7 linked regions of the Canis lupus familiaris genome follow. The protein of the gene in region 1 purifies or fractionates together with the protein of each later gene. This does not show direct contact. Links are inferred from orthologs where the notes say so. Each region holds a gene or a part of one and is shown in the gene's direction. Other genes may lie near its edges.

What was found.
Region 2: the proteins of COPS3 (region 1) and COPS7A purify together in Homo sapiens (affinity purification with mass spectrometry; 14 studies listed by BioGRID and IntAct, counting the BioPlex papers as one, with this or other methods). This does not show direct contact. The link is inferred for Canis lupus familiaris from reciprocal best matches to the Homo sapiens genes COPS3 and COPS7A.
Region 3: the proteins of COPS3 (region 1) and BTBD2 purify together in Homo sapiens (affinity purification with mass spectrometry; 3 studies listed by BioGRID and IntAct, counting the BioPlex papers as one, with this or other methods). This does not show direct contact. The link is inferred for Canis lupus familiaris from reciprocal best matches to the Homo sapiens genes COPS3 and BTBD2.
Region 4: the proteins of COPS3 (region 1) and CUL4B purify together in Homo sapiens (affinity purification with mass spectrometry; 11 studies listed by BioGRID and IntAct, counting the BioPlex papers as one, with this or other methods). This does not show direct contact. The link is inferred for Canis lupus familiaris from reciprocal best matches to the Homo sapiens genes COPS3 and CUL4B.
Region 5: the proteins of COPS3 (region 1) and DCAF11 purify together in Homo sapiens (affinity purification with mass spectrometry; 3 studies listed by BioGRID and IntAct, counting the BioPlex papers as one, with this or other methods). This does not show direct contact. The link is inferred for Canis lupus familiaris from reciprocal best matches to the Homo sapiens genes COPS3 and DCAF11.
Region 6: the proteins of COPS3 (region 1) and DDB2 purify together in Homo sapiens (affinity purification with mass spectrometry; 7 studies listed by BioGRID and IntAct, with this or other methods). This does not show direct contact. The link is inferred for Canis lupus familiaris from reciprocal best matches to the Homo sapiens genes COPS3 and DDB2.
Region 7: the proteins of COPS3 (region 1) and CUL2 purify together in Homo sapiens (affinity purification with mass spectrometry; 5 studies listed by BioGRID and IntAct, counting the BioPlex papers as one, with this or other methods). This does not show direct contact. The link is inferred for Canis lupus familiaris from reciprocal best matches to the Homo sapiens genes COPS3 and CUL2.

Annotation. Positions count from the first base shown.
Region 1 is NC_049226.1:42,356,945-42,361,000, forward strand, and holds the start of COPS3 (COP9 signalosome complex subunit 3), read left to right. Parts: upstream 1-1,256; 5' UTR 1,257-1,369; coding exon 1,370-1,424; intron 1,425-4,056. UniProt on the Homo sapiens protein: Component of the COP9 signalosome complex (CSN), a complex involved in various cellular and developmental processes.
Region 2 is NC_049248.1:7,780,770-7,784,904, forward strand, and holds the start of COPS7A (COP9 signalosome complex subunit 7a), read left to right. Parts: upstream 1-1,335; 5' UTR 1,336-1,494; exon of another isoform or gene 1,495-1,607; intron 1,608-1,977; 5' UTR 1,978-2,020; coding exon 2,021-2,182; intron 2,183-3,850; coding exon 3,851-3,926; intron 3,927-4,135.
Region 3 is NC_049241.1:57,467,772-57,471,271, forward strand, and holds part of BTBD2 (BTB/POZ domain-containing protein 2), read left to right. Parts: exon of another isoform or gene 1-789; intron 790-875; exon of another isoform or gene 876-990; intron 991-2,075; exon of another isoform or gene 2,076-2,205; coding exon 2,206-2,325; exon of another isoform or gene 2,326-2,375; intron 2,376-2,690; exon of another isoform or gene 2,691-3,500.
Region 4 is NC_049260.1:93,253,525-93,257,024, reverse strand, and holds part of CUL4B (cullin-4B), read left to right. Parts: intron 1-257; coding exon 258-373; intron 374-3,500.
Region 5 is NC_049229.1:4,243,837-4,246,890, forward strand, and holds part of DCAF11 (DDB1- and CUL4-associated factor 11), read left to right. Parts: intron 1-48; coding exon 49-113; intron 114-422; coding exon 423-523; intron 524-752; coding exon 753-899; intron 900-1,106; coding exon 1,107-1,161; intron 1,162-1,736; coding exon 1,737-1,805; intron 1,806-2,166; coding exon 2,167-2,224; intron 2,225-2,324; coding exon 2,325-2,510; intron 2,511-2,953; coding exon 2,954-3,054. UniProt on the Homo sapiens protein: May function as a substrate receptor for CUL4-DDB1 E3 ubiquitin-protein ligase complex.
Region 6 is NC_049239.1:42,800,111-42,803,610, reverse strand, and holds part of DDB2 (DNA damage-binding protein 2), read left to right. Parts: exon of another isoform or gene 1-283; coding exon of another isoform or gene 284-410; intron 411-1,571; coding exon 1,572-1,708; intron 1,709-2,084; coding exon 2,085-2,276; intron 2,277-3,500.
Region 7 is NC_049223.1:2,207,314-2,210,813, forward strand, and holds part of CUL2 (cullin-2), read left to right. Parts: intron 1-1,709; coding exon 1,710-1,912; intron 1,913-3,500.

The DNA of each region.
Region 1 (4,056 bases):
GGAGACAGAGGTGGCTTTCCGCCAAGAGGACCCCGGGGTTCCCGAGGGAACCCATCCGGAGGAGGAAATGTCCAGCTCCGAGCTGGGGACTGGCAGTGCCCCAATTCGGGGTGTGGAAACCGGAACTTCACCTGGAGAACATAATGCAACCAGTGTAAGGCCCCGAAGCCCGAAGGCTTCCTTCCACCACCCTTCCCGCCCCCGGGCGGTGACCGTGGCAGAGGCGGCCCTGGTGGCCTGCGGGGAGGAAGAGGTGGCCTCATGGACCGCGGTGGTCCCGGTGGGATGTTCAGAGGTGGCCGCGGTGGAGACAGAGGGGGCTTCCGTGGTGGCCGGGGCATGGACCGAGGTGGCTTTGGCGGAGGAAGACGAGGCGGTCCTGGTGGGCCCCCTGAACCTTTGATGGAACAGATGGGAGGAAGAAGAGGCGGGCGTGGAGGACCTGGAAAAATGGATAAAGGCGAGCACCGTCAGGGGCGCAGGGACCCGCCCTACTAGACGCAGAGACCCCGCAGGGCTGCCATGACTACCAGATTTATTTTTTAAACCAGAAAATGTTTTAAATTTATAATTCCATATTTATAATGTTGGCCACAACATTATGATTATTCCTTGTCTGTACTTTAGTATTTTTCACCATTTGTGAAGAAACATTAAAACAAGTTAAATGGTAGTGTGCCGAGTTTTTTTTCCTTCTTTTAAAGATGGTTGTTTAAAGACTAAACAATGGGAACCCCTTGTGAGCATGCTCAGTATCATTGTGGAGAACCAAGAGGGCCTCTAACTGTAACAATGTTCATGGTTGTGATTTTTTTTTAAATAAAATTCCAAATGTTTATTAAAAAAAAGAAAGAAAGAAAGAAGAAAGAAAGAAAGAAAGAAAGAAAGCCACACAGCGCTTAAGTAGTAGGGAAGGGATTTGAATCCAGGCTACCTGCCTGGCTCCAGTCTTCCTGACAGGTAAAAGCCTCATGGAAGAGGCGGCAATTAAGCCAGGCTTGAAGGATCTGGCCAGGTGGAAAACAGGACTGCCATTCCAAGCAAAATCCGGGAAATATGCGCCTAATTACAAGTTTCGTTTCTTCCTTTGCCCGGAGCCCCATTAAATAGCAGGAGGAATTTCATAAGTGCACCGAATAAAGAGAGAAGGAAAAGAAATCGAACTTCCGGCGGCGCTAAGCAGTAGAACTGTTTCCATGGGAACAGTAACTGCTTCCCAGGTAGGTGAGATCTCGCGGTGCGTGAGCCGGCGGAAGTGACGTCGGGCCGCTGTTGAGGCCCTGTGGAGGATAGCCGCGGCCCCTCCTCCCAGAGCAGCCGCCTTTTCCCGCGTGAGCTGCCTCTGCTGCTTGGGCCGCCGCGGGGAAATATGGCGTCTGCCCTGGAGCAATTCGTGAACAGTGTCCGACAGCTCTCGGCTCAAGGTGAGGCCCTGGACCGCCGGGCCGGGCCTGGGCGGGCCTTCCGGGCCGCGGGGACGGGCTTGCAACCCCAGCCGCCAGCGCGGACGGCTGGGACCTCCCTGTTGGTCCCGAGCCTCGTCTTCGGGGCCGGGCTTGGGGTTGCGGCGCTTAGACCAGGGAGGGATCGGGCGCGGCTGAGTTGGGGCAGCCCCCTTGCGCTCTAGGTCTCCGTTGCTCTCGTCTGCCTGCCCGTGCGCTTGGCGACCTGGCCACCTCCCCTCGCTGGGGCCGGCTGGACCCTCCTCCCCCCGGCCCGGGCCCCTTCCACCCGGGCGCTCCGCTTGACAGTTTTGGGGGCAGTGACTTCCGGTGGACGCCTTCCCGAGCGCCCATTGGTCTCCTCGGCCTCCCTTGCCTGCGGTGATTGGTACACCGCCTCGTCTGTCACCCTGGCGCTTGGCCGCCGCTGGGCTAGGCCGCGGGCAGCAGGCGCGAGATGAATCCTTTCTGGGTGCCTTGGCTCGGAGGCTCGCCTTGGCCGGCCCCTCGGATGCCGGCCGGCGCGCCCTCGGGAAGCCTCCGCGCCTATTTTAGTCCCGCAGAGTGCAGAGGGAGCTCTCGCTCGAAGGGCTCCATTTCCAGGGGCGGAATGATGACCGTTGTTACTTAAATTTTCATGCTCTTTGATTCAATTAATCTCATCAACCTGCATATAGGATGCTGGACTCAGAATTCAAGTAATCAGCTGCAGGCTGCGAAGGTCCCTTTAACTACCCTGTCTCTTTATCTCTAAGGTAAAAATAAGCCCCTGCTTCAGAGGTGTTGGGCTTGAATGAGAGGAACTTTGTAAAAGCACTTGAAACACTACCTCATATTTGGAGTGCAGTAGATGCAGTTAAAAATTATTGCTAGCAGCTATTAATCTGTAAGGTTCTAGGAGCTGCGTGGACAAGTCACCTTTAATCTCTTGAGTCTCAATCTCCATTTGTAAAAATAGAGGAGTGCTATGTCCCTCACTGTTGTTATGAGTTAACTGATCGGATATGAAGCTATACTTAATGAAGTACTTCTCCTTACCCTTATTAAAGAAACGAGGTTCACAGGTAAGGCACAGACTTGCAGTCTCTATGAATGAAGAAAACATTCATTCATTTATGCCACAAACTGTTTGATTTCTACTTCCTAGGATGTAGTATGGGTATTTAATTTAGATTTGGGTTAGAATCTTGTCAATCACTACATGTGTGAGCCACTTAATTTTCCCTGGGCCAGTTTTCTCACAAAATGAAGCAGGGACTATTTAGCATCAAGTGAGATTTATCTGAAAGCTTTGCATGGATGCTGTGCAAGTCACTGCTTTAGGAACAGTCTGCCAGGCAGAGATAAAATTGATACTTTCGCTGCCTGTGGCTTCTGTGCCTCATGGTCACTGCCTAGTAAATGTTTTTGAGGCTTCTGTTTTTTCTGCTCTTACTCAGAATTTTCTCTTTTTTGAGATTTTATTTATTTATTCCTGAGAGACACAGAGAAGAGAGGGAGAGACATAGGCAGAGGGAGAAGCAGGTTCCCTGTATGGAGCCCGATGTGGGACTCGATCCTAGGACCCCGGGATCATGACCTGAGCAGAAGGCATACACTCAGTCACTGAGCCACCCAGATGCCCCCTCTTACTCAGAATTTTCTAATGTGGACCTTAAGTGAAGGGAGTTTCATAATGTCCAGCTTTCTTTGATTAGAGGAAATTTCTTAGGCCACATGTCTGATTGGGTTCGTGTCAGATGCGCCCTGTGGCACTGAACTTATTGTTAACTCTCCCCTTGACCTACATTAATTATAATTCTTATAATTTCATAGTGACCTAGCTTTTATTTTAAGTCTCAACTCTGCATTGATTACTTAATTGGGGAAAAATAATAGACTGAAATATTTATTTCTGTGTTTCATATCATTGTAAATGTATTTAGAGTAGCAAGTAAAAAGGAGGCAAATTGTGTAGAAGATTTCACATTTAGCAGTGAGATTTATAATAAAATGGTGGTATTTCCCCATTCAACTTGTGTTATCTCTGAAAGATGATGCCTAATCAGATCACAGATTTTTTTATTCTTATTTTGCAGTGCTGTTATGTGATGATAATATATTTCTTTATATTTGATAAAAATTTAATAGTATAGAAGGCCGAGAAACGAAATTACCAAAGTTCCTAGCTACAGTCACTTTTTTTTTTAAGATTTTATTAATTTTATTCATGAGACACAGAGAGAGAGAGAGAGAGAGAGAGAGAAGCAGAGACACAGGCAGAAGGAGAAACAGGCTCCATGCAGGGAGCCTGACGCAGGACTCGATCCCGGGACTCCAGGATCACGCCCTGGGCCAAAGGCAGGCGCTAAACCGCTGAGCCCAGAGATCCCCAGTCACTTGGTTTTTAAGTATTCTACTATTTAAGTGGTTTTTTTTTTTTTTTTTTTTTGGTAAGAAGAAAAATCCCTCAGCTACTAAATAAAAATAGCTGATATTTATAGTTTGAAGTTCAAAATGCAAAAGAGAACTCTAAAGGAGAAGACAAGTGGTTGTTGCCCATGGACTTATATAAACCCCATACACAGCACCACCATTACCCCCAGGAGAATGGCTGAGTAGCCTTGGCAAGTGT
Region 2 (4,135 bases), on another chromosome or scaffold:
GCATCAAATGAATTAACTAAACCTCTTCATTCAGCATCTAACACAAAGTCCTCCAAAACGTCATTAACTTTATTCTTATTTGACCTTCTGCAAGCCCGTATGATGTAAAATACTACAGAACTGTTAGTTATTTATTATTTTTCCTAAAGTATCATGGTAACGTGGAAAGATAGTTTCCAGCTTGAAGAGACATGAGTTCCAGGCAAATCTCTAACTTTATTTTTTTTTATAGGTGTTCAATTTGAAATCTCTAACTTTTTTTTTAAGATTTTATTTATTCATAGAGACACAGAGATAGAGGCAGAGACACAGGCAGAGGGAGAAGCAGGCTCCATGCAGGGAGCCGGATGTGGGACTCAATTCCGGGACTCTAGGATCACGCCCTGAGCCAAAGGCAGACGCTCAACCACTGAGCCACCCAGGCATCCCGAAATCTCTAAATTTTTATGAGCATCAATTTCCTTATCTATAAAGTTAAAGTAATAACAGATACCTTCCTTACACCTAGGGGTTTTTCGTCTCGCAGGAATGAAAAGACTCGATGCGCACGAAAGCCTCACTCTACAAGTACTCCCGGAGTCACACTGGGGATGCAGTATAGTTACGAGGATTCAACGGGATGCAATTTTAAAAGATGCCTCACCAATAGTAAGCAATGTTACTACAATGTCAGTGTTACCTATTATTACTTCCTGTACTTTTCCCACTACTTTCCTCTTGCTCCTCAAAAAAAAAGGAGTGGTTAAAATAGCCAGGGAGGGGGATCCCTGGGTGGCGCAGCGGTTTAGCGCCTGCCTTTGGCCCAGGGCGCGATCCTGGAGACCCAGGATCGAATCCCACGTCGGGCTCCCGGTGCATGGAGCTTGCTTCTCCCTCTGCCTGTGTCTCTGCCTCCCTCTTTCTCTCTGTGTGACTATCATAAATAAATAAAAAATTTTTAAAAAAAATAAAAATAAAAAAAAAAATAAAATAGCCAGGGGATCCCTGCTGCGAAACTTCTACTATTCTTGTCTTCTTCCTGTCTCTCATTTCCCTCCCTCCCTTTTTTCCTTCTCCAGGCCGCTCTTTCTCATTACAGCTTTCCTGCCGCCTCCAGCGCCCTGTGCAGCCCGATCTCCAGGTTTCAAGCAGCTTTGAACAGACACTTAACCACCCGGTACCTGCTGCAGACAAGGGGCTCCCTTCGCATTTACCATCTAGCGCTCGTCGGACAATAAAGTTTTATTGAAACAAAGCAGGAAAAAAAAAAGACGCCGTCCTTCTTCCTCAACAGCCAATCAGAGAGTAGAATGACTGGCGCTCGCCGGAGCTTCAGCCGTCGGAAGGCGGGGGAGGGGCCTGGCCTCGCCAGAGCGGAAGTACGAGCCGGAAGCCCGCCATAGAGTGTAGTGGCCAGAGCGACTCTGCGGGGAGGTGGCAGGAAAGGCTTGGAACAGCTGCCGGAGGTGACGGAGTGGCTGCCCCGCCCGGTGTGCTGGAAGACGAAGCTTCCAGGTAGCGGCCCGCAGAGTCTGACCCAGGGTACGACGGGGCAGTCGGCGTGAGCCCGCGGTCCCTGGGCGGCCTCTTTAAGGGAGGGGGCGGAGCCACGTGGAAGGATCGTGAGGGTGAGGTCACGTGGTTGGGGGTACTTGTGCGGCACCGTGGAAATTTGAGGGAGCGTTGTTGTTAGGGTGGACGCCATGTGACACCCCTTCCCCCACCGCATCCTATGCCTTGGGGTTCAGTGGGGTGCACGTGGTGGGCCTTGGGATCAGGCCCAGGGATGGGGGAGGGGGCCTGGCAACTCTGTCTCAGCCAGGCGTCCGTCAAAGTGGCCGGTTTTCGGATTTCTAGAACCGAGTTTTAGACAGCCCCATCTCTCGTTCTTCATTTGTAGATGTGACTCAGTGCCTCTGCAGTCCAGCCCCTGGCCCCTGTGCTTCCCGCCCTCCCAGGGTTCAGGGACTTCCAGCTTCACATTCTCTCTCCTTGCAGCTCCAGATATCCTGAGCCCAGGCCCTCCCAGCTCAGTGCAGCCATGAGTGCCGAGGTGAAGGTGACAGGGCAGAACCAGGAGCAATTTCTGCTCTTGGCCAAGTCGGCCAAGGGGGCAGCGCTGGCCACACTCATCCACCAGGTGCTGGAGGCTCCTGGTGTCTACGTGTTTGGGGAACTGCTGGATATGCCTAATGTTAGAGAGGTGGGTTCCTGGCCTAGAAGGCACACATGGAAGCTTGGGACTAAGTCTGAATTTGAGAATGGGTGGGCAGGGCTCATTTGCAACCGCATAACCATTCGGTTGAACAGGAATATGGTGATGATTAATTAGCAGCTGGCAAAATAAGTAGGCAAGTAAACCTCTCACTTTCCTTTGCTGATGAATCATCTGTAAAACCCACTGTTTTTCATTTTTAAGCCAAAGAGTGATTCAGAAAAGGAGACCTAATTCCATCCTGTCTCCTCCAATGTAGTACCTCTTAGTAAGATCATGTTGCCTTGATCAGGTCACTTTTACTTTAAGACCTCCGTTTAAAATTGAAACTGATACTGCCCCTCAGTGTCAATTATAGGAATCAGGTCAGATTATGGGAAGTGTAGAATCTGGTACAATTGGGAGGAATGAACATGAAATTGGCAGCCCCTCCTCTCCTCACTTTGTACCCTTTGTTCATTCACTTAAGTTAGATAAGTGCCTAGAAGTGTTAGAAGGTGGCTTTCTCCCCGAGACATGTGGCAAGATGCTAGGGACACAGCAGAGAGAACTGTTCACATAGAGTTAAGAGTTTAAAGTCTAGGGGGTGCTGGATCACCAAGATGTGTGACATCAGCTCAAGTCCTGAGGTGCTATGGCATTGATATGCAGGCAAACTGTGTTAGCTTTTTGAGAGCCAGTAATTGATGGAGTCAATGGATTTAGCCTTCAGGAGTCACTGGTATATGGAGAAAACTCTGGCTGCCTTCTTTCCCTACGCTTTCTTCTACAGTGGAACTAAAGAGGGTCCGTTAAGGTGAAAAAAACAAGCATTTGTTGAGTGCTTGTTTATCTCTGCGGGTCATCTGGGAATACCAGAAAAGTGTAAGACACAGTGCTTATTATCCTCCTAAAACTTATATTCCAGTTGCAGAGATAAGATGAATGGATATGGCCATGTAAATTACTCATTTAGCAAGTATTTTCTGAGAGCCAAATAGCTCTGCAGACCTGAATAGCTCTGCAGACCTAACTGGGTGGGATACCAGGGCCTGGAGCTGTTATCATATTGGAAAGAAAGATATTCTTCGGTAACAGCCTAAGGGTTTGATCGATTAAGTGCCAGAATGAGTGATCAGTGATTGGAGAGGAGATCTGAGTGGGCTGGCCTGGATGATGAAAGCCTCCTGGGTGCTGCAGGTCTGACGTAGAGGCCATGCAGCTCTCAGAGATGCATGAGGGTAACGCAGGAGTGTTTGGTGAATTGGGAGGTACGGCAGACTGCCTACTCAGATTCAGAAATATTAAACATGCTCTAAGGACCAAAATGCAGTTTACAATGTCTGAGTGCGTGTGTGTGTGTGTACATGCATGTGCGCTCACTACCAAACACTCTGAATGTGCTCAGTTCTGAATTTGGGGTAAGAATGAAGACGTACGGAGAAAGAGGGCATGGTGGATTGGGGGGAGTAGTGTAGACAAGGGCCTGGAGGTGGCAATGAGGCCTTCGTATAGGGAGAGCCATCAGAGAGGCAGAGAAGTCCGGGGGGGGTTGGGGGCTGGGAGAGCTGATGGGAGAAGGGAGAGATGGGGCCAGAAAGTGGAATTGAAAACAGAATGAGGCTAGGGAACTGGAGAGACGCCTGTCCTGTCACCTCTTCCTTTGTATTTTTGCAGCTAGCTGAGAGTGATTTCGCTTCCACATTCCGGCTACTCACTGTGTTCGCCTATGGGACATATGCTGATTACTTAGGTAACCAGAGGGTTAGAGCTCTGGAGTAGTGGTGGGAGAAGGGCAGTTTCTGGAAGGACTTCAAAGAAATTCCTGGGAAACCCTCCTGGGGTACACAGGGTCAGGGTCAAGACCTGAATTGACATGGAAGACTAAAAAAATTTTTTTAAGTAGAGGGTAGGAAGCTAGGGCTTCCCACGAAAGTGTAATCAAGATTTCCTCTGCTTTGT
Region 3 (3,500 bases), on another chromosome or scaffold:
CCGCGGGGAGCGCTCGGCCTTGGCGCCGCGTCCTACAGCGCGGTCCTGCCCTGCGGTCCTGCACCGGGCCTCGGCCTCCCCGGCGCGTTGCTGTGGTCGAGGGCGCGGGGCTTCCCTGGCCCCCAGGCACACAGACCGGCCCGGCCGCCGCCCCTCGGGGCTCCCTCTCCCCGCCTCGTTCAGGTGGCTCGTCATTGCTCTGCTCTTATTTCAAGTTTTTAAATCCGGGTGAAATATTCGTGACATGAGATTCACCGCCGTAACCGTCTCTGAGCGCACAGCCCGGGGCACGGAGCGCACTCACCCCACCGCGCAGAACCTTCCATCTCCCCACATGGAGCCCCCGCCCCTGGCTCCCGCCACCTCCTGTCTCTGTGGACGGGCCTCCTCTGGGGGCCTTCTGGGAGTGGGGTCCTGCGGGAGGCGTCCTTCTGGTCTGGGTCCCCTCCCTGAGCCCGGTGTCCTCGGGGTCCGTCCACGTGGGGCAGGTTTCGGGGTCCCTTCCTCCCCGGGGCTGGGTCACATCCCGGGTGTGGACGGACCGCTCTGCTCCCATGGATGGACACCCGGTGCTGCCTCTTTTGGCCACGGGGACACCAGCTCCGAACACAGACGTGCCCTGGGTGTGAAACCTCTGAGTCACGCGGGGCTGGTGTGTGGCCATCAGAGGAGCCGCGGCCACACCAGGGTCCTGCTGTCTCTGCATCTGTGTCACCTTGTCATGGTCTCTGGGTGTCTTCTGGGCCGCCGTTGGCAGGCTGAGCTGGCGTCTCCCCGGGGCACCTGCATCTGGGAGGAGGGACCGTGACCCTGGGGGCTGAGGCAGGGGTGAGCAGAGGGCCGGGGGGCGGGGGGGGTAGTGGTATGGGGCCGACCTGCGGCCCGTGCGGTGGCCTGTCCAGGGCCCTGGGACAGCGTCAGGCGGGGGGTGCACCCCCCCAGGTGCGGGCAGCGGCCTCTCCTGCAGGCGATCAAGGTGCTTGCTTAAATCTGGAAAGAAAAAAAAATAAAATAAAAAAAAAAATAAATCTGGAAAGAAAGGAACAGGAAGGCACCTATTTAGGATGGATGGTGGGATGGATGGCCTGTGGGAGGGCAGAGGGGCTGGGCCGCCCCAGTGAGTGCCGGGTGGGGGGGGTAGGAGGGAGGAGGAGGCCAGGGTGGAGAGCAAGGAGGCCCCGGGTCGCAGGTGACACTGCCTCCCGGGCTCCGGGGGGGCCCTTGCTGGCCTCACTCCTGGGATCTGCGTGTCCCCGGGCGGTGGGCTCATCCCCTGGTGTCTGCGCCTGTGTCCCGAGGCCCCTCTTACGAGGACGCGGGCATGGGGTCGGCCCCCGTAGGACGGGAACCAGTCACACGGACAGAGACTGTTTCCAGGTGAGGCCCTCCTGCGGCTTTCCGGTGGACGTGACTTTGGGGGAGGCCGTTCGCCCCGGTGTCCTCGGTTCCCATCGGGCCGTCTCGGGTCTGGTCTCGGGTCTGGTCCTTGGCCCGGTCAAGCCCTGCGCGCCCTGCGGCCCCCTCGGGGCTGGGAGATGCGCCCGGGGGGAGGAGATGGTGGGGGCTGGGGCAGGGCGGAGGCCTCCAGCCGGGGTCGCGGGAACCTCGGGCAGGCTGCTCCGAGCCCTGCGTGTGTCGGGGTGGGGACCCCGGGCGGGTGTGATGCGGGGCCCGTGGACCTGGGTCCGGCCCTCGTGGGCGTCCGAGGTGGGGGGGCAGCGCCAGCCTGGGCTGGGTCAGGAGGCCCCCGACCCCCCAGCCCCAGGCAGGGGTCCAGCGGGGTGCCTCACGGCTTGTCCTCACCCACGGGGCACCCGTCCTCGAGTGGAGAGGACATGGCCGGTGGGGCCCACGTGGTCACCTCGCGGCCACCACCTCGTAACGCTGCCCTGGGCTCCTGCCCTTCCCTGGGCCCCCGCCCGCCCGGGGCCCTGCCAAGCCTTCCCTGACCCCCCCCAGGCCGTGCCCTTGACCGGGTCTGCCCCCTGGGCGAAGGCGGGATGGGCGCTGCGGGGGCACGGGGGGGGGGGGGGGCGTGGGGTGGGGATTGCACGTGTCCGCCCGCCCCTTGCCACCTTCCTTCTGGAAGCATCTGCCAGCAGTGCTCGCGGCCGGTGTGTGCTCTGTGCTGGGCCCGGTGCCCCAGACTCGGGGCCGGGAACCGGCGGGCGCGCGGAGGGTCACCAGGCTCCTCTCTGACGCCAGGTTCGTGCTGGCCGTGGGCAGTGCCGTGTTCGACGCCATGTTCAACGGGGGAATGGCCACCACGTCCACGGAGATCGAGCTGCCCGACGTGGAGCCGGCCGCCTTCCTGGCGCTGCTCAAGTAAGACTTTCTAGATCTTTCACCGTGGGGTGGGGCGGGGCAGCCTGTCGCTGTCAGAAAGTAGCCGGAGGTAAGGAGACCCCCAGGGACAGGCCCGAGCCCCGGCCCCGCGGGATCTCCAGAGCCGCCTGTGCAGCGGTGGGGGGGTGCCCTGGAGGCCCCGCCCCACCGTCACGTGTGTGTATCTCGACGTGTGCTGCACACGCGTACGGTTCGCCCTTTGGCGGTGTGCTCCGCGCTGGTCTGCACTGCGTCCCCAGGGTTGGCGTCTCTCTGCGCCTGCTACCGCCACCTCCCGTCACCCCCCAGCCCCCGGCCCCCCGGCGCCCCTCCCCATCCTGGACGGGTCACACCCGTGGACTCACACCCCGTGGGGCCTCCTGTGTCTGGTCCCTCCAAGAGCGTTGGGAGCGCAGGCGAGTCCCCGTTCTCACCCTGTCGTCAGCAGGGGCTTTGGAAGAAGTGAGGTCACCTCCACCTCCAGGTTTTCCTTCTTGAGCCTCAGCAGCATTCCCTCCCGGGGTTAGTGGAAGAGCAGCGGGCGGGGGCCTGGCTGTCCCCAGGGGCTGTCCCCACTCCGCGGGGCGCGGGCTCCAGCTTCCAGAAATGCCGAGTGTAAAGGGCGTGGGGACTGACAGTCTGCCCCACGCAGGTAAAACATCTTTTGAAACGCAGAGTTTTTTTCTCTCATGATTATAAAGATGACGTAGGCTCGCAGAGGGAGAGGAAGGAAGGAAGGAAGGAAAAAATAAAGGAGAGAGGGGAGCTGGCCCCATCCGCCGTGCCCACGCGGGAGGCCTGCCTGTGCGTCTGGGGCGGCCGCCCTCTGCCCTGTGCCCTCCTCCCTCCCGCCGTCACGGCTTACTGATGGGCAGCATTGTATTCTGGTTGGTTCCATCTGTGGATGCCCCTTAATCCTTGACGCTGTCTGGTGTGGTCAGTCCTGTGTGCCACTCCCATCTCCCTGATGACAGCAGTTTGGGGAACAGTCTCATGAGTTTGTCGTCCCGTAGCTCCTCAGGTTGCCTACACCTGGGGCACGTGACTCCGTCTCCACCACTCACCCTGCCACTGCCATCGTGAAAGCAGCCACGAGGATTTGTAAACGGTGGGGGAGGCCATGTGCCAATAAAACTTTATTTACAAAACAGGTGACAAAACCATGATGAGCTATC
Region 4 (3,500 bases), on another chromosome or scaffold:
ACAGTCAATTGAAAAAAAAACCTCTCACCTTTAATTTTAATAGGTGAGTCAAAATGACTTAAACAGTATTCTGGCATTTCAAATTTTATTCTTTATGCTAAGGCTAAAAAGCAGTAATTACTTTAATAATTAGATGTTGTGATTATAAAAATCACAATTTACCCTTGAAAAGCAATAATACTATTACTGTACTTTAGTGGAGCCTTCCATTACTATATCCTACATATTCTGATATCAACCTTGTACATATCACCTAGATAAGCCTAAATTACCAGAGAACTACACAGATGAAACATGGCAGAAGCTGAAAGAAGCAGTGGAAGCTATCCAGAATAGTACTTCAATTAAGTACAATTTAGAAGAACTCTACCAGGTATGTATTAATGTGGATAACCAGATTTGGCAAGCATAAATTGAAGTAGTATGTAAAATATGGATTTTACTTTGAAATGACTCCTTATGTAGACTTTTGGTTTCCTTCTAATGAAAATGTCTTGATTTATGTACTCTGCTTTATAATCAGACCACATATTCTGACATACTCTAACATTCTGACATAAACTATGAGTATAGTCATACTGGTATATATTGGGTTTACCTTGGACCCTTCTGACTGGGATTTATAGTGAGGAATACCTTGGTATTATCAAGGGTTTACCTATAATGGAATCATACAGCCTGGATCCCAAAGGTGTGATTTCTGATGACAAGTCATTCTGTTATGGTACTTATCCCTAAGTGGTGTTACTCACCTATAGGAAAGGCCTCAAGAAATGTAGATATTCTCTATATGCTTTATCCTCCCTCATTCATATTAGTAGCCTTTTGCCATTTCTTTTTCCTTTAAAAAAATAGTTTATTCATGAGAGATACACAGAGAGAGGCAGAGGGAGAAACAGGCTCCTCTCAGGGAGCCCAATGTGGGACTCCTGGGTTGGGGATCATGCCCTGAGCCAAAGGCAGACACTCAATTGCTGAGCCACCCAGGCGTCCTTGCCATTTCTTCTTCTTGTTCTTCATGTTTGTTTTATTTTCTGGGCTACAAGATTGTCTTTAGCCAAAAAATCAGCAGATTATAGTACAGTGACTTGATCTGAGGTTCAGGTTTGTTTCTTTTGCTTTATAAATGGGTTTATACTTGAAGTATTCAGTTTAAATATACCATTAAGGGCAATTACTGATTTAGACTTCTTACTACCATGATTTTGCTCTACTGTATTTTTTAAAAGATTTTATTTATTTATTAGAGTGCACATGCACAAGCTGAGGGGGCGCAGGGAGAGAGAGAAGTAGACTCTCCGCTGAGTGGGAGCATGACATGGGAGCTCAATCCCAGGACCCTGAGATCTTGACCTGAACCGAAGGCAGTCACTTAACCAACTGAGCCATCCGGGGGCCCCTGCCCTACCGTACCGTATTTTTGACGCAACCACTTCAAGAAGTTACTTTGCATTATAGTGTAAGCAGTTTCATGTAGAAAAATACTTCAGAATCCAATAGCTTGTGTATTTTTTAGAGAGCAAGTGCGTGCGCTAATGAGCAGTGGGGGGGAGCAGAGGGAGAGAGAATCTCAAGCGGTCTCTGCGCTGAGCATGGAGCCTGACTCTGGGTCCTGAGATTTCAGAACCCCAAGATCATGACCTGAGCCAAAAACTCAGGATATTTAACCAACTGTGCCACCGAGGTGCCCTGCTTGTTCTTTTCATATTGATAAGTACCTTGTAAGAAATTAAGTGGTTTGATTTATCAGAATTTGTAATTTTTATCTATTCATTTTAGTTGCAGAGATATTACGGTAATGGTTAAACCCTGTATTAGGAATCTGAAGACAGGGATCCCTGGGTGGCGCAGCGGTTTGGCGCCTGCCTTTGGCCCAGGGTGCGATCCTGGAGACCCGGGATCAAATCCCACATCGGGCTCCTGGTGCATGGAGCCTGCTTCTCCCTCTGCCTGTGTCTCTGCCTCTCTCTCTCTCTCTCTGTGACTATTATAAAGAAATAAAAATTAAAAAAAAAACTGTAAGGAATCTGAAGACAGATTTGGGATCTTGTTTTGGTGGCTATTACCCTTGTGATCTTGAGCAAGAAACTAGACCTCCTTCAACTTCAGTTTCTTCCTTTGTAAAATAGGGGAAAGAATACTTGTCCTATCTACCTCAAAAACACTTTGAAATGCTATATTCTAGAAATATAAGATGATGTAGTAAAGCTCTTGCATAAGTCACAGTGTGGTTTTTTTTACTTGTAATAAGTCAATTACGATCACCAGGTTCTATTGCTGTGAAAATCTCAAGGAGTCAGTGCATGGAAAACACTCAGAACATGCCCAACACATAGTAATAATGTTACACAATATAATCATTATAACACTGTGTTAAGTAGTACAAAGCTATTAAGGATAAGCCCACCTTATTTGACTATGTTGGTATGTTACATATGAGGCTTCTGAGTTGTACAGTAATAAAAGTAGAATTATGGAATTAGAATTGGAAAGACCTTAAGAAATTGTGTAGTCCAGTAGCTTTTTTTCATATAGTGCAGGTGGCCCTCTACAAATCAGGTTTATCTTTTATATCTTTTCAGTATTATAGAAACCCTTTGTCAAGTAGAGTAGTAGTTATTATTCCTCTATTGATGAGGAAATCGAGTCTCAGGGATGTTAAATAACGTGCCCAGACTCAAACTGAGATGGCCAATTTTCAAGTCCAGTGCACATTCACTACTGTGTTGCTTCAATAATACACCACAGCACTTCAAGTGCCTCTATAGTGTAGTGTATGTAAGAGACAAATAAATAGTTTTACTTTAGGGAAAAAAACTGTCACCAAATAAATTTTTTCATATGTGTGTGTGTATGTATGTATATGGTGATTATTTGGATACATTTTATATTTATAGCATATTGGCTGTGATTGTTAATGAACCCTATTTACTTTACCTTGAATATTTTTATAGACTTTTGGGGTTCAAAAATATTTTCCTGATAAATTGATTCTGTTAAATTTCCTTTGTTTCAAGAGCTCATAGCTTGCATTTTTGTGTTTTTCATTTTATCTAATTCAGAGTTACCACCTGCTATTGTTCAGTTGTATTTCTTTAGCCTAAAAACAGTGTTATAACTGTTTACTCTCTATATTTTTTACAGTACTTTACTATTTTTGCTGAAGTAAATTCAAAAGTATTTGTTTCTAGCTCTTTTGTTGTTTTTCACCCTAATTTTATAAATGCTCCCTTTGGATTATTCTCAGAGAGTTTATTTTGAGAATTTCAAGTTCAAAAAAGGATAAAAAGATAAAGGGAGTAAAATTGTTTTGTACCATCTGGATTTCAGGTACTTGTTTAATTTTGACTGAAATGTAAATTAAAAGTACTCTTCCTTTTTTTAATGTTTTATTTTTTTAAAAGATTTTATTTGCACAGAGAGAGCATGTGTACAAGCAAGGAGAGCAGCAGGCAGAGTGAGAAGGGAGAAGCAGGCTCCCTGCTCAGCAGGGAACCCAA
Region 5 (3,054 bases), on another chromosome or scaffold:
AGTGGCCCTCTGTTTCTGCTAGCAATATTCCCCAATCCCTTCCTTTAGAGAGAACGGGGCCTCTGCCACCGGGGAAGCTTCTCCCTTGGAGAACGGTCTCGAATGATGTCTCAGTGAGTATGGGGCTTGGTGGAGAGACTCTAAGAGCCAGATAGGTTTTATCCCTTAAACTTTGAAGAGGCAGGTGTTAGAGGATGCTCAGGGATATTAAAGTTAGGTTGAATGGGATCAAAGCTTGAGGGTAAACAAACTGGAAGAGTATAGAAATTAAGAGGATGATTGAATGAATGAAAGAAAAGGGATCGTACCCCAAGGCAAAAGGGAAGTCCACCCTTGTACTCACACTCACTGTTAGGATTCTGCTAACCAGGACGTTCCTCTTCCTCAGCTCCCTTTACCTTCACTTTGCCTCTGCTTTCCAGCTTCTTGCCCAATGATCTGGGCTTCACTGACACCTACTCTCAGAAGGCTTTCTGTGGCATCTACAGCAAAGATGGTCAGATCTTCATGTCTGCTTGCCAAGGTACCACCAGACCCTGGTCCTGCAAACTGCCCTGGAACAAGGAGCATACCCTCTGACTGAGGCTAGAAGGACCCAGGCCCAAGGAACTCCCTGGGTTAGGGATGCTTGGCCAGAACATGTTTCCCATGATCAAGGGAAGATTCCACAGATGTACAGAGGAAGAGAGGTCAGATCTAGAGAGGATGCCAGGAGGGGGTTCCCTAATTCTGCCTGATTCCTACTTCCCCAGACCAGACGATCCGACTGTATGACTGCCGGTATGGCCGCTTTCATAAATTCAAGAGCATCAAGGCCCGGGATGTAGGCTGGAGCGTCCTAGATGTGGCCTTCACCCCTGATGGGAATCACTTCCTATACTCAAGCTGGTCTGATTACAGTGAGTATGCCCCAGACTTCCACTGGCTCTCCAGCTCTGGACCTCTCCAAATGTCCATGTCCTCTGTGCCAGGACTCCATGCCTCCTCCCGGGAAAATCACTCCCAGGGTCTCACATCCTTGCCCTTTGCTCCGTCTCCTGCCTAACTTCACTTCCACCCAAGTTCCCCCAGCCCTGAAAGATTCTTGTTTCTCTTGCCTCTCTTAGTTCATATCTGCAACATCTACGGGGAGGGAGACACACACACTGCCCTGGATCTAAGGTACTGGCTTCCCTCCTTGGGCAAACTCTTCAGAAACTTCTCAAGGAAGGCTCTCCAGGAGCAAACCTCTTGAACTGGAACTCCTGCTTTGAGGGAAGAGTACACTGGTTGCAAGTGTCTCTGTGTGGATTCCTGGGAGGGAAGCACCTATCCTTGTCAGCCAGAGGACCAGGGTAAAATAGATGGTTGTAGGATTATTTAGGGTTCTCATGGAGGTAATTCACATTCTGGGACGTATTGGCAGGACTTTTTTTTCCCCTTAGAAGTACACCTTGCAACCCTCATTAGATTCTTTTTTTTTTTTTTTTAATTTTTTTTTTAATTTTTATTTATTTATGATAGTCACAGAGAGAGAGAGAGAGAGAGGCAGAGACACAGGCAGAGGGAGAAGCAGGCTCCATGCACCGGGAGCCTGATGTGGGATTCGATCCCGGGTCTCCAGGATCGCGCCCTGGGCCAAAGGCAGGCGCTAAACCACCGCGCCACCCAGGGATCCCCCCTCATTAGATTCTGTGTAGACTAACAGAGGCTGAAGGAGGCCCACTTCACCCAGCTCCTTCTCTGCTTCTTTTTAGGCCAGATGAGCGTCGCTTTGCTGTCTTTTCCATTGCTGTCTCCTCCGATGGACGGGAAGTGCTAGGAGGGTGAGTATCGGTAGGGGATGCAGCCCTTGATCAGGGAGAGGGGAGTACTCCCAGAGGCCAGCTCTGCTGTCTCAGAGACTACTGGACACAGCTATCCAGGCAGCTGTGGAGAGCAGCCAGCCTGTTTTTCTCCAAGGTCAGCGTTTCAGAGCTACTTCACCTCTTGCTCACCATTTCCCCAGCATGAAATGAAAGGTCTCAAACCTCCTTGCAAACATAGCTAACTTTTCTCCCACCTCCTGCGTATAGAGACTGGGGCTTTCCCTTCAGCAGGACTCTGCAAGAGAGACTCTCCAGAGCATACATAACAATGATTCTCTTGGTTCTGGCCCCAGGACCCTCTTCATCCCTTCCCTTTCAGGGCAAATGACGGCTGCCTATATGTCTTTGATCGAGAACAGAACCGGCGCACCCTTCAGGTATTGCTCTCGAGACTTAGAGCCTCTGCCTCCCAGTCCTTGGCCCTATTAGAAGACCTAGCAAGAGGCCCTAGGTATTCTGGCTTCCTTCATCCCCTAGATTGAGTCCCACGAGGATGATGTGAATGCAGTGGCCTTTGCTGACATAAGCTCTCAGATCCTGTTTTCTGGGGGTGACGATGCCATCTGCAAAGTGTGGGATCGACGCACCATGCGGGAGGACGACCCCAAACCTGTGGGCGCACTGGCTGGGCACCAGGATGGCATCACCTTCATTGACAGTAAGGTGGGCAGTGAAGCAGACCTGCACATCCAGGTTACAGTTGTCCGGGAGCATGTCACAGTGGCCTGGTGTAGGGACTCACCGAGCTCCTTATTAGTTAAGGTTTGCAAGAGCTGGAGTTTAGGGAAGGGCTTAAGCCAAGAAACACGAGATCCTTCTGTATTCACCAGCCCTGAGCAGGGCAGGGCTTTTTGTAGAAGGAAAGAAGACCATTAATCCAGGATAGAATGGGAGGCCCAGCCAGTGCCTGGGGCAAAGAAGGGAAAACCAAGCCAGGGGGTGGGTTCTGTGGTAGAAAACCAGCAGTGAGCTGGCCTGGATGAAGCAAGAGGCAAGCTAAGTCAAAGGACTGGCATTCTTACCCTTTACCTGGAGAAGAGCTAGACAGACACAACCACCAGTATTCGCAAGCTCTGATGCCTTGTTATCCATCTGGGGATTCCCAGGGTGATGCCCGCTATCTCATCTCCAACTCCAAAGACCAGACCATCAAGCTCTGGGATATCCGACGCTTTTCTAGTCGGGAAGGAATGGAGGCCTCACGGCA
Region 6 (3,500 bases), on another chromosome or scaffold:
GGCCATCTTTATTTCTGGCAGATCAGCTGACTGGCACTAGCTGGCCCAACACGTCGGCGCCATCCCGTCTCTCCAGGGAGCCCCTGAGCTCCTCCCCTCGCGTGCCCCAGTCTTCGCAGGAGGGGCGGGGCGGGAGCGAGAAGCCAGATTGAAAGCGGTGAGGCTGTTTGGCGGGAAGTTGGCGTAGTTCCCCGGTCCCCGCCTTGTTTCTCCCCAGAGGCTTCACAATCTTCCCTCCACGGTCTCGGCATAGGGCATAGTACCCTTTCGCACGGAGGACGCGATGGCTCCCAGGAAACGCCCAGAAACCCAGAAGACCCCCGAGGTGGCTGTGCGCCCCAAGAGCAAGAGGAGCAGAAGCCCCCGGGAGCTGGAGCCCGAGGCCAAGAAGCTCTGTGTGAAGGGCCCCGGTACTGCCTGCGCCTGCTGCTTTAATAATTCCGCCTTTTGGGGTTCTCACGCAGGAGGCTGGAGTGGGGGATGGGTGCTGCTGGTTTCCCGAGGCTCTCCCAAACTTCGGATGCCTCGAGCTGTACATTTTTCTGCAGGTCCTTTCACATCATAGAGCTTGGGCTTAACCCCCCTCAGGTGCCGGGAAGAGGCAGATGAGCTCCATTACATAAGACACAACGGACCTTCAAATTCCTTGTTTGTACCAGGATTTCTATACACTGAGAACTGCTTAAAATAATCCTACTTTGCCTAGTGGTGTGTGTGCTGAATTTCGATAGTCATGGTTGCTAGCTGTGTGTCCTTGGTTTCCGCTGTAAGAACCCGCAATTTCCTTAGGAAACTCATTCTCTGAGGTTTATTGGGGCTTGAACCTGGGGCTAAAGGAGTGTGAGGCAACACCGAAGACCAGCGGGGGGTTGTTGGTGAAGTGGGTTTTGTCCATAAGAAGAAGGAGTTGGTTGTCAAGAGGCCAGATTCCTAGAGACTAGGTCCTCAAATACATCTTTATTACTATTCTAAGTGAATTTACCTCCCCAACAGTAGCTTAGTTAACTTCAAGCCATGCCAGACCCTCTGGATCTGCTGGTTTCCAAAACTGATTGGACTTGGGGCCAATAATGGGTCACCTCTACATTATTTTAGTATAGGATTTAATGTTACTTCTTCCCCCCCCCCCCCCCCCCCCCCCCCCCCCCCGGTCGCTTCTGTGCTATCCTAAAATCCTTTCATTGTGCCTTATATGGGATTTTAAAATTGTCACTCAACCCTAGTATGAGTTTTCCGACCCACTGGGAAGAGTTCTTCATAAACTTTATTCTTGTGTGTTTCTTTAGCTCAATGCGCAGCAACCCTGCAAGGGTTTGGTTTCATATCGTTTTTTATTTAGTTTCGCTTCAGAATTACTATTTTGGGGAGTGTTTGGGGCAAGGGGCTGAATCCCTACTCCTTATTTATTTCTTGTGCCGGATGAGACTGAGCAGACCACAGAAAGGCCTTAGGTGATGGGAGAGATTGGCTGTGCCGAATGAAAAAACAAGGCTTTCTTTCTGAGATTTCAGCAGGAAACTCTTCCGTGCGTGAGAATGGAGAGGAAAATATGTGTCTGTTCTGCTTGGCAGGTTCTAGCAGAAGATTTGACTCAGGCTGCCTTTGGGCGGGGTTGGCTAGCCTGCAGGTCCCGCCATCATGCAGCAGCATCGTCAGGGCGCTCCACCACCATAAGCTGGGCAAAGCTGCCTGGCCGTCACTGCAGCAGGTGAGGCGTTTCCAGGCTGAAGTGCTCAAGGGTTTGCCTGGAACACTACTGGGATGTTCTAAAATTAGAGGCTGGGTTGGTTCAGTGGGTTGTCAGAGTGGTCAGATCACCTCTACCTTGGTGACTGACCTACTGGGCATTCAGCCAGGTAGAAGTCTTATGCTGTAAAGGTCTCATCTGGAATGCACTCTGCCCCCTTGCTTTCCAAGATTAGTTTGTGCACGTTGCAAATATTTTCATGCGCAGAGCCAGGCAGTTAGTTTTCCTCTGGTGGGAGGACTTGGCCCTAGAGCTCATCTGTGGAGGAGGCAGAGATTGGCAGTGTACCCAGGACTTGGGTTTTAATTCAACTTAATTCTTTTTTTCTCCATGTCAGGGTCTCCAGCAGTCCTTTTTGCATTCTCTGGCTTCTTACCGGATATTCCAAAAGGCTGCCCCTTTTGACAGGAGGGCCACATCCTTGGCATGGCATCCAACTCACCCCAGCACCCTGGCTGTGGGTTCCAAAGGGGGAGATATCATGCTCTGGAACTTTGGCATGAAGGACAAACCTACCTTCATTAAAGGGGTGAGCAGTCCCTGTGCCAGTCAATAGTGTGAAGAAGTGTTTGTTGAAGGAGTGGAAAGTTATCCAGTAACGAGGAGATGATTGGGATCAGAAGTAACTGGGTATTTTCAAACAAGTAAATGGTAACAATACTCAAATCTTCATTGAGGGCCAGCCCTTAAAACATTAGAAGGTGTGAAATATTGATCACCCTCTTGTACGTTATCACAGAGAACAGAATCTGAGCCCCTTCTTTATTCTTGGCCTCGTCTTCTACTACGGTCTTCCTCACTTCTGATGCTTTAGCCACACTAGCTATTTCTTTCTCTTCCTAAAACTGGGGCTTTGGACTTGCTATTCTCTTTGACTGGGGTACTTTTTCCCATGGTTTTCTCATGGCTGGCTCCCTCTTTTCATTCCAGTCTTGGCTTAGTATACTTTGTCAGACAGCTTTCACTGACCACTCTGTCTAAAGTAGCCTCTGCTTCATTCATTCACTCCCTATCCCATTACCCTGCTTCACTCCCACCCCACCCTGACACACACACACACACACACACACACACACACACACCCCACCCCCTGAGACAGCATTTATCAGTACCTGAAATGTTTTGCTTATTTGTATGTCTTTGCCCATATAAACCTCTTTGGAAAGTAAGGTCCATGATAAGAGGGACCTTATCTTTCTGGTTCACCACCATATCCTCAGTGCCTAGAACAATGTTTGGGCTAGAGTAGCTGCTTTGTATTTGATGAATGAATGAGAGCCTTCAAGTGTAACTGGGATGTATACATAGAAGATAACTGGCAACACGGATGCTAAATGCCACAGAACATGAGAGAAGGAAGAACCTCTTTGTGAGTTAAGAGTAGAGAAGGCTCATGATGAGTGGAGAGGGAGGAAGAGCAATAATTAGGGAAATGGAGAGAAAAAGGAAAGGGGGAGTGTGTTTGGGGCAAAGTTGGCATAGCGTTTTTTAGAGATGATTAGTATTTATCATCAGTTGCTGAGGGGCATGGTGTTGGTCCTTCCACGAAAGATAAGACTCTTAGTTTGCACAGCCGGGGGTGTTGACTATGGAGGGCTATTCTGGAAAAAACAGCCCTCTGGCTTTAGAGCAGAAGCCACAAACTCACGTGCTTAAGAAGCCAAACAGGAAAAAGAATGCTTGGGGTGGGGTCAGTGGTAAACTGGAGATGGTTGACATGCAGGAATCTAGGTCCCATGATGGTATCAGATCC
Region 7 (3,500 bases), on another chromosome or scaffold:
TGAACTTGTAAGATAATAGTGCTGAAAAGGAGGCAAGAGGCCCATGTACCCCTAATGCTGACAATTAAAAAAACAGGAAAAAAGTTTTAATAGAGTGCTAACTAGTTTTTCTAGTGTTGCAGAATGAACTTAATAATAAATAAATGATATTTTGACCCTTTACTTGTGTTGTCTCCTAATGCTCCTTGGGTTCTGATGGTGATAAAAGACTGTTGTTGGGTGTGGCAGGGGGCTCATTCTGGGCCCTGACAGCATCAGTGATGGGTAGCCTGGTGGTCCTACTTCATCATCTAGGTGCTTGATGCATTATTCCATACTTGTTTCTGACATATGATTAAACAGTCATTGCACAAATGCTAACAATTTATGTGATATTTGACTTTTCACCACATTTCCCAAACTTAAATGTTGAAATGAAAGTCCTTAAAATATTCTTTGTGCTAATGTTGGTAGGATACTCCTAATATTAACTTTTTACTTAAACTATTTTGTGTGAATTGATTATTCTAATTCATTATTATTAACCACCTTTCATGAAAATTCAGAGACAAGGAATTTTTTTTAGGTGTTTCCAAATAATTATCTGAATAACGGTTGTTTCTGAAATAGGTTGAGGCATAATGAAAGTTTGAATAGCCATCTGTGTCATAGTAAGTTGGAGAATTGACTATCTTTTTAAAATGTTTAATTATATATATATATATAAATAAAGGAACCACAAAATCTTGATCAGAGTTACTAATTACTACTAACAGGGAGAATGTAGCCTCTGGGGTAGGTTCATGAAGGTTCATACAGCTCCCTTAAGTTAAAATGTAGAGCTCTAAAACTAGATCTGTAGCGGTTTAGTTTATAATCCATTGACAGTTGAATAATGCAGGGGGTGTGTATATGAGAAAGACAAATACAGTCACTAAACTACAGCTTTATGCTTTAGGAAACAGTTTGTTGACTTGCATTAGCTTTTTATTTTATGTGTTACAGAGTGCATACATGTACATGTTTGTCATACTGTTTGTTACAAACTTTTTAGTGTGCTGTCCCTCTGGAATGTCCCAGAACCGTAGTGTGCCTAAACCTGCTGTATCCTTTATAGCTTTCAGGTTGGCATAGAATCTAGAGCTTTTTTGTTCTATCAACTATTTCCACAAAATAATGGATCTTTCTTTTTGTCTCTCCTCCCATTTGTATGACCCTAGAAAGTTACTGGGAAGAATGATGTTTATGAGATAAAGTAGCATTGTTAAATTTTAGCAGAAGCTGTGGGTTAGATGGAGCCACTGGAGAAGCATCTCCTTTACACCTGTGGACCTCCCTGAGTGCTTGAACCAAGATAGAGGCAGCACATAAAGCCATTACTGGTCACCTGCTGTCATTCTCTCCTTTTGTCCATTTCTCCTGCCCTCACCTCCTGTTTCTGCTTTTTTCTTGTCCAGGTCTTAGCTTTCCTATTAACACTTAAAGACATTGTTACACACTGGTAGAGGTCTGATAGTTTAATTGTGATTTATACTGCATACTCAAAACTAATAGCCCTCCCTCCGATCCCCCGAAACAAATAAACTGATTACACTGCTAGTAACAATTTAGTAAGTCCTTGGCTCATTCTTTCAGGAGAAAGTAGCTGAAATAAATAATTATTACTCAAACAACTTTGAAATATTTCTTTGAATGATCAGTTTATTGTCACAATTTTGTTTTAATTGTAGGTGAAGTTAAAATGAACTATTTGGGCAAACCATATGTAGCCATGGTTACTACATACCAAATGGCAGTTCTTCTTGCCTTTAACAACAGTGAAACTGTCAGCTATAAAGAACTTCAAGACAGCACTCAAATGAATGAAAAGGAACTGACAAAAACAATCAAATCATTACTTGATGTGAAAATGATTAACCATGATTCAGAAAAGGTATGGGGTAATATTTCAAGGAATTCTTTTTTTTAAAGATTGATTTATTTATTCATGAGAGACAGAGAGGCAGAGACATAGACAGAGAGAGAAGCAGGCTCCTCACAGGGAGCCTGATGCGGGACCCAATCCCGGATCCTGGGATAATACCCTGAGCTGAAGGCAAACGCTCCATCCCTATTTCGAGGAATTTAAGCATTATAAACATTATAGCTTGAGACGTTTGCAGTTTTTAAAGTAAGATTATAATCAGTAATACCCTTTGTACTTTGGAAAGCACTGGAGTCAGCTAGCAATACTGCTGGCTACTTAGAGCTGTGAGCTTGTGGAATCACAGAGAAGTTGGTGCCTCTGTGCCCTTTATAATTGGCTGGATTCTGGTTAATTGAGGCTAAAAACAATAGCATATCCTAAATCTTCCTGATTTTTTTCACATGTGTTTAATTGATATTTAATTATTTAATTACATGGTTCTAATAGAAAATGACTATTGATATTATTTATATGTATATTTAGCTTGTGTGACAATTCTGAATGCTCTCACTCTTCTGTCCCTTCAGTCCAGGACTCAACTAATAACCACCATATATTTGTAGTACAAATATATTGTCACAAGAATAGCAAGCCAGGAATATACTACTTTTCTTAATAGCTTTTTTTCCCTAGTAACACGTTTTTGTTACTGTTATAGTATATATATATATATATCCTGGATATTTAAATGATTCAAAAGCAACAGATGTGAGTTAAATCTCCTAATTCGAATTGTGCCTGTAAGAAAAAATTCTTATAAATCAGACATCATTTTTATTTTGGTGAAGTTAATAGCCTACTATTTCTGTCATCAGTTCACTTAATTAATGATATATATTTTTAAAGATTTATTTATTTGGGGGGTGGCAGGAGAGGCAGAGGGAGAAGAGAATCCTAAGCAGATTCCCTGCTGAATGTGGAGCCCAACACAGGTCTCAATCTCATAACCCTGAGATCATGACCTGAGCTGAAACCAAGAGTCAGACGCTTAACCAACTATACCCTCCAAGCGCCCCTGCTGGATGATATTTTGTAGCCTATAATTAAATAGTTTTAAATGGCATATATTTTGAAATTCAAATCAAGCTTTTCTTAATACTGAGAAATTAATTTTTGATTTCAGAATCTTAACAAAATATTAAATTCTTAATATTAAGATTTTAATTGAGTCAATCATTAAGCATGAATTTTTAAGCTTATAACCTAAAAAGTTTAAGTTTATAAGCTAAATTAAGTACTTAAGACATTATGTATTTTCTAAAATGTATTATTTTTGCTGCCCGGGAATGTACAAAATATAGATGATTGCTTGTTTGCACATAAATTTTAACTATGAATCTGCTGTTCCTTAGCAGAACTTCTTAGCTTATTATTGAGAATGAATTCATTTGCTAAGTGCTTTTTGATCTTGCTAATGGAGAAAACACCATGTGTGATCAGAGTGGCTTTCATAAGCTTGATAGTTGTGATTATAAAAATTGACTTAACAACTTTCACTTGAAAAGAGGCCACGTGCTTCTGGCAGACAGTAAAACATGAATTCGAGGGTAAACTT